2 linked regions of the Macaca fascicularis genome follow. The protein of the gene in region 1 purifies or fractionates together with the protein of each later gene. This does not show direct contact. Links are inferred from orthologs where the notes say so. Each region holds a gene or a part of one and is shown on either strand. Other genes may lie near its edges. The genes, in order: DTX3 and RNF114.

Evidence for each region.
Region 2: the proteins of DTX3 (region 1) and RNF114 purify together in Homo sapiens (affinity purification with mass spectrometry; 3 studies listed by BioGRID and IntAct, counting the BioPlex papers as one, with this or other methods). This does not show direct contact. The link is inferred for Macaca fascicularis from reciprocal best matches to the Homo sapiens genes DTX3 and RNF114.

What each region holds. Positions count from the first base shown.
Region 1 is NC_088385.1:64,415,475-64,419,828, reverse strand, and holds the start of DTX3 (probable E3 ubiquitin-protein ligase DTX3), read right to left. Parts: upstream 3,081-4,354; 5' UTR 3,046-3,080; exon of another isoform or gene 2,172-3,045; intron 1,915-2,171; 5' UTR 1,874-1,914; intron 1,720-1,873; 5' UTR 1,657-1,719; intron 1,475-1,656; 5' UTR 1,428-1,474; coding exon 1,399-1,427; intron 1,053-1,398; coding exon of another isoform or gene 1,034-1,052; coding exon 304-1,033; intron 1-303. UniProt on the Homo sapiens protein: Regulator of Notch signaling, a signaling pathway involved in cell-cell communications that regulates a broad spectrum of cell-fate determinations.
Region 2 is NC_088384.1:106,019,492-106,023,723, reverse strand, and holds the start of RNF114 (E3 ubiquitin-protein ligase RNF114), read right to left. Parts: upstream 2,883-4,232; 5' UTR 2,869-2,882; coding exon 2,729-2,868; intron 1-2,728. UniProt on the Homo sapiens protein: E3 ubiquitin-protein ligase that promotes the ubiquitination of various substrates. In turn, participates in the regulation of many biological processes including cell cycle, apoptosis, osteoclastogenesis as well as innate or adaptive immunity.

The sequences.
Region 1 (4,354 bases):
TCTGCCAAGATGTCAGCACAGTATTTGTGTTCATCAAGGAAGTAATATGCAATTCCTTCTTCTCGTATCTGACTTGCTTTTTTTTCCTAGCTCATATCTGATTTTCACATGTGCCTTGGGATCACAGGGATGGAAAAGCTGGGCCTCACAGGGACCTCCTAGGTCTAGGGCACTGAGTAAGAGGGCATAGTGGAAGACAGCAAGACTGTCTCACATCTAACAAGCACACTCACCCTCACCCGGTTTTCCTAGGTCAGAGCCTGGGGAGAGCCAAAGGGTAAGGGCGGGCCATGGTCTTCTTACCCCCTGGACACCGGGCGGGAAGACGTACTGGATGACAATGGTGCCATACTTCTCATAGCTGGGTAGTAGGAGGGTGGCGTCCTTAGAGACCAGCATCCGCCCATTCTGGGGCTGGTTGCCCACCAGCTGCCCATAGAAGCGGCCGCACATGGGGCAGGCCTTTTTCACCTGCAGAGCCCGGGTGATGCAGCCCTCGCAGAATGAATGCCGGCACTTCTCCAATGTCTTGGCATTCTGGATCTCCCCCAGACAGATGGGGCAGGTGCTCTCCTGCTCTTCTGCCTCCTCCCGAAGGCGAGGAGGAAGAGGTGGGGGCAGGGGGGGAGGAGGAGGGGGGAGCCCCCGAGCCCCTGGGGGCAGAAGTGGGGCTGCTCGGAGAGGGGGTGGGCCTGCGCGGTGCATCTCAGGGTGCTCCCCTCCACCCCCCAGAGCCAGGCAGCCCATCAGCTCCCCCTGCCTCTGAGCTTTCTTCAGCTCTTTCTCTGCCTCTTTTAGCAGCCCCTTAAGAGCCTTCCGGGCTAGGTAGAGCCCATTGGGAGGGGCCGGGGGAGGGCCCTGTGGGGAAAGCTGGAGAACATAGATGTCAGAAGTCTCGCCATCTATTAGGATGGACACACGATGCTCCTCCCGAAGCCGGGCCAGCCGGGCTGGGGTCTCTTTGCTCAGGAAGTCCCACACAGGCTTGGAGACAGTCACTTTGTTCTTGCAGGTGCCTCCACAGGCTGCCATTCTGGACAGGACGAACGACACTGCCCCCAGGGTGAAAGGGACTCAGGGTGGGGGGTCCCCATTTGACAAGTATCAGTGCCTCCTACTTCAGGTTCCTTCCAAACCCTCTATTACCTCTGTTTTCTCAAAGCCTAATCCCCAACCCTTCCCCCAAATTCATATTCTCTCTCCCCTTATCTTCCAAACCCAGTGCCCACTGAAGAGCAAAAAAGTTTCCAGAGCTGTATTATCATCTAAGCCAAGTATCAGTCTTGTTTCTCCTGTCATTTCTCCCAGATCATAGAAACAATTTGCCCCTCCCACTTCTGGGGGGAAAATGGGCTCTTTAAAGGGGAGGGAGACTTTTTGCCCCTCCTTTTTGCTTACTTTGATCCTGAAGAGCTTAGAATTGGCATGCAGGCTCACTCTTTTTTCCCTGCTCCCTACTTGTAGGTCATGTGAGCTGGTAGGGCGGAAAAAAAGGAAGGAAAGTGAGAAACCCCTTCTCCCAATTCCCATGGCCCCCAACCCAGCAGCCCATGGAACAGAGACAGAAACCTGGGTATAGGTTACTGAGAATGGTAACATGGAATGAAGGAAACCAGCTTAAGGGTGAAAATTGAGGATCCCTTGTGGGAGAGATACCTGGGAAGCCCATGGAAGATGATGGCAGCAGAAATCCTTCTATTTCCACTCAGCTGACCAGGACTGGGAATAGGGGAAGGGTAAAAAGTTATGATGGCAAATGTTACCATTTCCCTCAGCCAACCCAGAAATAAAAACTCCACTTCCATCTCCTCTCTCCTCTGCAGAATTCCATCATCAGCTTCTCCCCAAGTTGCTCAAGAAGGAACATGCTAACCTTCCTCCTTTCTTCCCCAGCTCTGAGGCCCCCAAGAAAGCCTAGGGCACACATAAAAGATGTCAGGAAAGAAAACGCCCACACAGGTGGAGGTCTTCTTGCCACCTCCCTCAGATCACATGGACCGGAATATTTCCTATGCTCTCCAACTCCTCCCCTGCTCCACGTTCCCAAATAATTCAGCCCCTATTGCCAGGGAGCCTTCCTTGAGAGCTAACTCAGTCCCTTCTGCTGAAGTCTGTTAAGGATGTGAACAAAGTGGCAGCAGCCCCTGCAATAACAAAGTTCTCATTGTCACCTTTTAAACCCAGCACAGGCAGGGCTGTCTGTCAGCTCCCAAGTCTGGCATTTAGGGAGGGGCGGGGCTCACACAAGGGCTCAGCTGGAGGGGCCTGATGTTTCCCCTGAGCCTGGTCGCATTGGGCTACCAGGCTGTACCCACAACACTTCCAAATGCAGCTCAAACAGAAAGAAGGGCCATTAGTGTGACCTCCATTCAATGACTGATCCAAAAAGGTGCAGCTGTCCCTTCATGCCTCCATCATCGTCCCCCAAGGCCAGATGCACCTCGAGATTCATAAAGTGAAAATGGAACCCTAGAGTCTCAGCCCATACAGTGTATCTGCGCTGCAACACCCCCCTCCCCATCACAGGGGACCCAGGACCTAGGTGTCCTAGCTCCAAGTCCTGCTGGCACAGAAAAGGGAGGCGGGGCCACAGTTTAGGGTGGGTCTGTGATTCCTCTGTGGGAACCCAGGCCGGACAAGGGACAGTCTCTCCCTCTAGATAGAGGCCAGAGGGAGGGACAGCCCGGAAGGGCAAGGGTCCCTGGGGGCATCCACTGAGGCAGCTCCCGCCCTACCCCCACGGCCTCCTCCAAGACCCGACCCGGAACCAACTCCCCACATCCCTCACTCGCCAAAGCCCCCGGATCCCCATTGCCGGGCGGGGATGCATGTCGGCCCCGATCGCAGCCCTCAGAACCCCCGAATGGAGGCCAAGGCTGGAGGGTGCTAGAAAGATGATCGGCCGGGCACGGAGCGGGGAACCCGGAGCCGCGCGCGGGGAGGGGAGGTGGAGGAGGGGGCGCCGGGGGAGCGAGGGGCGTGTGAGGGGTGCGAGCGGGGCCTGGGGGGCGCGCGGTGGGTGTGGGGGGCGCCGGGCTCACCTACCTCTCGTCAGCGCCGCCATTGCCGGTCACATGACTGAGGCTGTTGCTGGGATGACGGTCCGGGCCTTAGCAACAAGGGGGGGGGGAGACCCCGAAAGGTTGGGGGTTGCAGGGGGTGCAGGCTGAGGGAAAGGGAAGGAGGGAGGACAGCACCCTCTTTCCCCTCACAGGTGATAATCACCGTTCCTTTGACCCCCTTCTATCCGCAAGCCCCTGCCCTTCCTCCCCAAAACAAAAATGGAGGCGCTGTTCCAGTCTTTGGAGGGAGGGGGTGGCGTCATGGAACTGAGGGTAGGAGGTTAAATCCCTGGAGACGCCACCCTTCTCGCTCCCCGCTCCCGGCGGAGCACTCTCCCTTTTCTTTCCCAGCCAGCTGCGTAGCAGCTCCGGGGAGCTGGTGGTGGATGGGTGGGTGAAGTGTTGGTGGGTATATGGGGATTCGGGGGGGAGGGCGGCAATTTTTTGAATCCTTATGGTAGAAGGGCCTTTGAGGAACAATGTGGGATGGGAAGAGTCATAGTAAAAAAAAAAGCATTGGTTTTAAAAAATAAACAAATCCGGGTACTAAACTATTTCAATCCCCTCCCTCATCTGCCTGTTTCTAGATTGTTACCTCCTGTGACCCCCACAACCTGCTCTCAGTTGGTCATTGGTAAGTGCCTCTGATTTTTCTCTTTCCACAAACAGCGATATGGAGGCTGGTGCAGAATGGGAAACGAATACATTTTTTAAAAAATGGCTTGAGGTGGTGGTAGTGTCAAGTGTGTATGGTTCAAATAGAGTTAAAAACTCTCAGGAAAAAAAAAAAAAAAGCTCTGCTCTGCTTCCCACATCAAGCAGTCTCTGCCCAATTCAACTCACTTCCCTAGGGCCACATCAAGCCAGGTTTTTCCACCAGCCAAAAGACTTCCTCAGCCAAGACAGGAATCTCCCAAACTGGCAACAACCTCTATTCATCCACCCCTTTTTCACTCCCCCTCTAGACTGGAGAGCTGGTCACTTTCTTCACTTTCCCAGGACTCTGCTGTACTCTTCCTTCCCTCCAGGAAGAAGACAGCTTTCCCAGGAAGCCTGGGGGAATACTGGATTCCGTTTCTTTTAGCTGGTGGGCTGAGAGGCCTACTCACCTTTACAAAGATGGAGTGTTAGCAAGCCCAGAACTCAGGGAAGAGGAAGGGTCCCATCACCCTACCCTTCCCTGGCCCTCACTACCTCTGACCTCCCACGAAGTTGAAGACTTAAGTTTTCCATTCCGGTGCACACCCTTCACAGCTTTTTAAAAAACGTTCCCAGCCATCTGTCTAGAAACC
Region 2 (4,232 bases), on another chromosome or scaffold:
AACTTGACAAAGCCCTGTTCTCATGATGCTTACATTCTAGAGTGAAGGGAAACACAAATGTTAATTTCAGATAGTGATTAAATATATGAAGGAAATATGGCAAACAGACCAGCTGGAGGGATCACAGAAAGCTGCTTCTGAGGAGTTGGCATTTGAGCTGGGTGGGACCTGATTACGAGGACAGCCACACAGATCTGGGTGCAGAGCTCCACACCAAGATGATGCCACACACAAATGAGGACTGGAAAGGCAGGCAGGCAGACCTTGGGGGCCACAATGCGGTAGACCATGGTGAGAAGGGCAAGCGATAAGGCAGTAGACACAGGCAGGGCCTGTGGCCATCACTTCTGTTGCCTGTTCACAAATGCAGATGACAACAGGAACCCAAGAGAGCACAGAGGGTCCAGTGAGTATAATGCAACCAAACCCAGCATGCAGATAAAAGCAGCTCGAAGTCTCTTTGCAAGCACACACACAGGTTCAGCTCATCTATCAAATGTTCATGAGTCACTTTGTGCCTGAGACATACCCAAACTACCAGACTGCTTTGGAACTGCTCAAATATCCTGGGCTGGCTTTTCAGTTTCTATTTCCTATTTATGGGCCCTTTCCTAGTTCAGCCTTCTGACGCTCCACTCTGTCACAGTGCTAGGAAGAAATTCTCCTCTCTTGGGCACCCAGCCAGCTGCCTTTCTCCAGCTGTATTCTACTGGATTGGAGAACGCAGTCATTCAGGGCTTGAAATAAAGTTTTATAAAAATCCAGTGCCCCAGCCAGAGTTGTAGTGATGCTCAACTTTCCAAGCACAAAAGGTAAAAAATCAAGTAGGCACAGGAGAAAGCATTCGGTTGGAGCTAAGGGGGACTCAGGCTGCCCTCACAGAGGTGCTTCCATCTGTCTTCAATTTGCACTGAACTGCTGAGCACGTGGGGCTAGGACAGCGAGGACAGGATAGAGAAGAGCCAAGGTTTGAATACCAGTAGTTCCTTGCCCTCTGACCTAGGAAAGGTTCACCCAGCTCAAGAAAATCTCAAATTTTGCTGCTCTTCATTTAGCAAACTGTGCTGGGTCTAGCCTTTTTACAAATGTTAATAGTAAATGAAATCCACTGAATTAATCCAAAATCAGGTAAACCTGATCCAAGGATAAGCGGATTCAATGAAAAAGCTAAAGACCACTTCAACTCTCATGAAGCTTGCTTACACGACTTATTAGTTCATTCAACCATTACCTGATCATTCACCCCACGCACAGAGGTGTGATCCCTGAAATACCCTCCCACTTGCAGAATGAATTTCTACAATAGTTTGACGAGTCATTGGTACTGATTTGTAAACTCTGAAGGCAGAGTCTACCCCAAGATCTGGCACATAGAGGCCATTCCAGTCAGTTGAGGGGCAAAAAAGATATGGCCACTCCATCATGAGCTGTAAGTTTTGCTCTGTGCAAGCAAGGAGAAGGAAGTTAAGTCCCAGAAAGGAAGTGGGGGAAGTAATTTAGATGGGGATGGGTGTTTGGTGAGGTAACCTAACCAGGGACTTGAAGCCCGAAGCGGGGGGGGGGGGGGGGGGGGGGGGGGTTGGGGAGGAGTTCCAGGCTAACTGAATTGCAAAGAGGAATAGCCTAAAGCTACATGATGAGGCAAAAAGCAGCCAGTTAGGTGCCAAGCACTGTTCTCTAGACTATTAAAACGGTCACCTGCAGTATATCTGGGAAGAGTTAGGCCACGGCGACCCTTCGACAGGCAAGCGTCGGACCCTCGGTGTATTCACCTGTAAAATGGCTGCCAACCCTCCCCCGCTGCAGGGTGGCTATAGAATAATGCCCATGGAGTGCAATGGCTACTGTGCCTGCTGACTAGTGAAGGGGTGCCAAGACCAATGCCAAGGTGATCCCACGGTAAGCACTGAGAGAGACGAGAGGAAAAGCCAATTCTGAGGCAAGAAGCAGGTGGCCACGTTGTCTACAATTCTTTCAACTCAGGTGTGTCTGTGCGTCTGATGGAACAAGGCTTAGATTCAAATCGACCAACCTCGAAAGCCCCGGCCACAGCCCAGGACTGGACATCTTTACACATATCTGCTTTAATCATTATAACCAGTCTATTCACAGTATTCAGGTCATGAAGGCTTAATTGAAAACTGAAAGAAACAAACCTCCTACACAGGAAGTAGAATGCTAACAATCCCATCTGCCAACTCCCACCCCCTTTCACAGCTAAGGGCAAACTGGCCAGATCCCCATAAAGACTTCCCTTTTGTTGTTTTAGTCTAGTCCAGCGTTTCTCCCAACTTTGGTTCGTATTAGAATAACTCGCCACAGCTAGACTCAATGCCAAATGTCCTATGCTTTAAGAGCGACGCGGTCTAGAAAGGAAACGTCGGCTCTCCAAGGGCGGACTTCCGAGCCTAAAGTCCCTGCAGGGCACGAGTCCACTATCACGTGTGGGAAGGAGACTGACAGGCCGACTGGAACATTGCAGGCGCTCAACGGACAGCAGCTGCCCCGCTAAGACGGGCGGAGGGACGGGATACTTAGAAGTAAGCGGGGCGGGACAGAAGAGCGCCCCGGCAGCTTTCACGGCCCTTAGGAGCCCCGGGGGACACCCCCGGGAGGCCCCTCTGGGTGGGTCCTCTGGCTCCCGCCCTGAGACGCATCTCGCTCCTCGGCTCCATTTCCTTCCCAGTCAGTTAAGTGCCTCCCGACCAGGCCCGGGCTCGCCGCTTACACGTGTCCGCAGGGCACCTGTACCGGCTTCTCGTACACCTCTAAGCACACGGGACACGTGAAGCGGCCTAGGGGATCAGCCTCCGCCGCCGGCCCCGCCAGCTGCGCAGCTCCCCCGCCGTCTTGCTGTTGCGCCGCCATCTTGCTGCCGCTCTGCGCCGCGCAACGGCGGCCGATGAGGAGTAGGCCAAGGGGGCGGGGCTCGCGGCCGGAGGGGGTGGGGCTCGTGGGGCGGTGAGCGGTTGGGGGCGGGGCTCGTGGGTGGGCGGCCCCTCGCGGCCCCTGGGGCCCCTCTGACCCAAGCGAGCTGGAGGCCGAGGGAAATCTGGAAAACGTGGAAGCCAAATCCAAAGGCTGCCAGAATTGGGACGGGCTCTGCGCGTGGGCCGCTGTTTTCCAAATTTAAGTCGTTAGTTCGGCACCACTTGCACTTATCACTATTTATCTTCGAATCAAATTGCTTTTTCCTTAAATTTATTTATTTATTTATTTAATCTATTTTGGGAAAAGGTCTTGTTTTGTCGCCCAGGCTGGTGTTCAGTGGAGCGATCATGGCTCCCTGCGGCCTCGACCTCCGGGGTTCAAGCGATCCTCCCACCTCAGCCTCCTGCGTAGCTGGACCACAGGCAGTCACCACTATGCCGGACTAATTTATTTATTTTTGTTTTTTTTTTTGTAGAGATGGGGAAAGGAGGTGGGGAAGGGGCGATGCCGAGAGCGGGCGGGTCTCACTGTTGCCGAGGCTGGCCTCGAACTCTTGGACGCAAGCGATCCGCCTGCCTCAGCAACCCGAAGTGCTGGGATTACAGCGGTGAACCACCGTACCCAGCCATTTCTTAAATTTAAGCAAATTTAATAACATCTAATTCCTGAGCTGCAAGAAGAAAGTCAATATCATTTATTTATACAAAGGAGCTGGGTACGGTGGCTTACGTCTGTAATCCCAGCACTTTGTGAGGCCGAGGCGGGCGGATCGCTTGAGCCTAGGAATACGAGAGCAGCCTGACCGACAAGGTGAAACCCTGTCTTTACTAACAATACAAAAATTAGCCAGGCGTCGTTGCCCATGCCTGTAGCCTCAGCTACTCAGGAAGCTGAGGCAGGAGAAGCCTTTCACCTGGGAGGCGGAGGTTGCCGTGGGCCAAGATCGTTCACTCACTCCAACAGTCACTGAACTTCAGCCTAGGCAACAAGAACAAAACTCCATCTGAAAAAAAAAACAACAACAATAAAGCACATTCCTTTCAAATTGTGCAATAATCACCATCAGCTATCTCTAGAATTCTGGTCGTCTTGCTAAACTGAAACTGAAACTCTGTCCCCATTAAACAATAACTTCCTGTTCCCTCCTCCCATCCCCATACCCCCAAGACCCTGGCAATTTTGTCTATGCTTTTGAAGCACTTATAGCTATAAAATTTCCCCTGAGCACTGCTTTCACTGTGTCCAGTAAATTTTGGCATGCTGTGTTTTTGTTTTCATTTGTTTCTCAATATTTTCTCTCT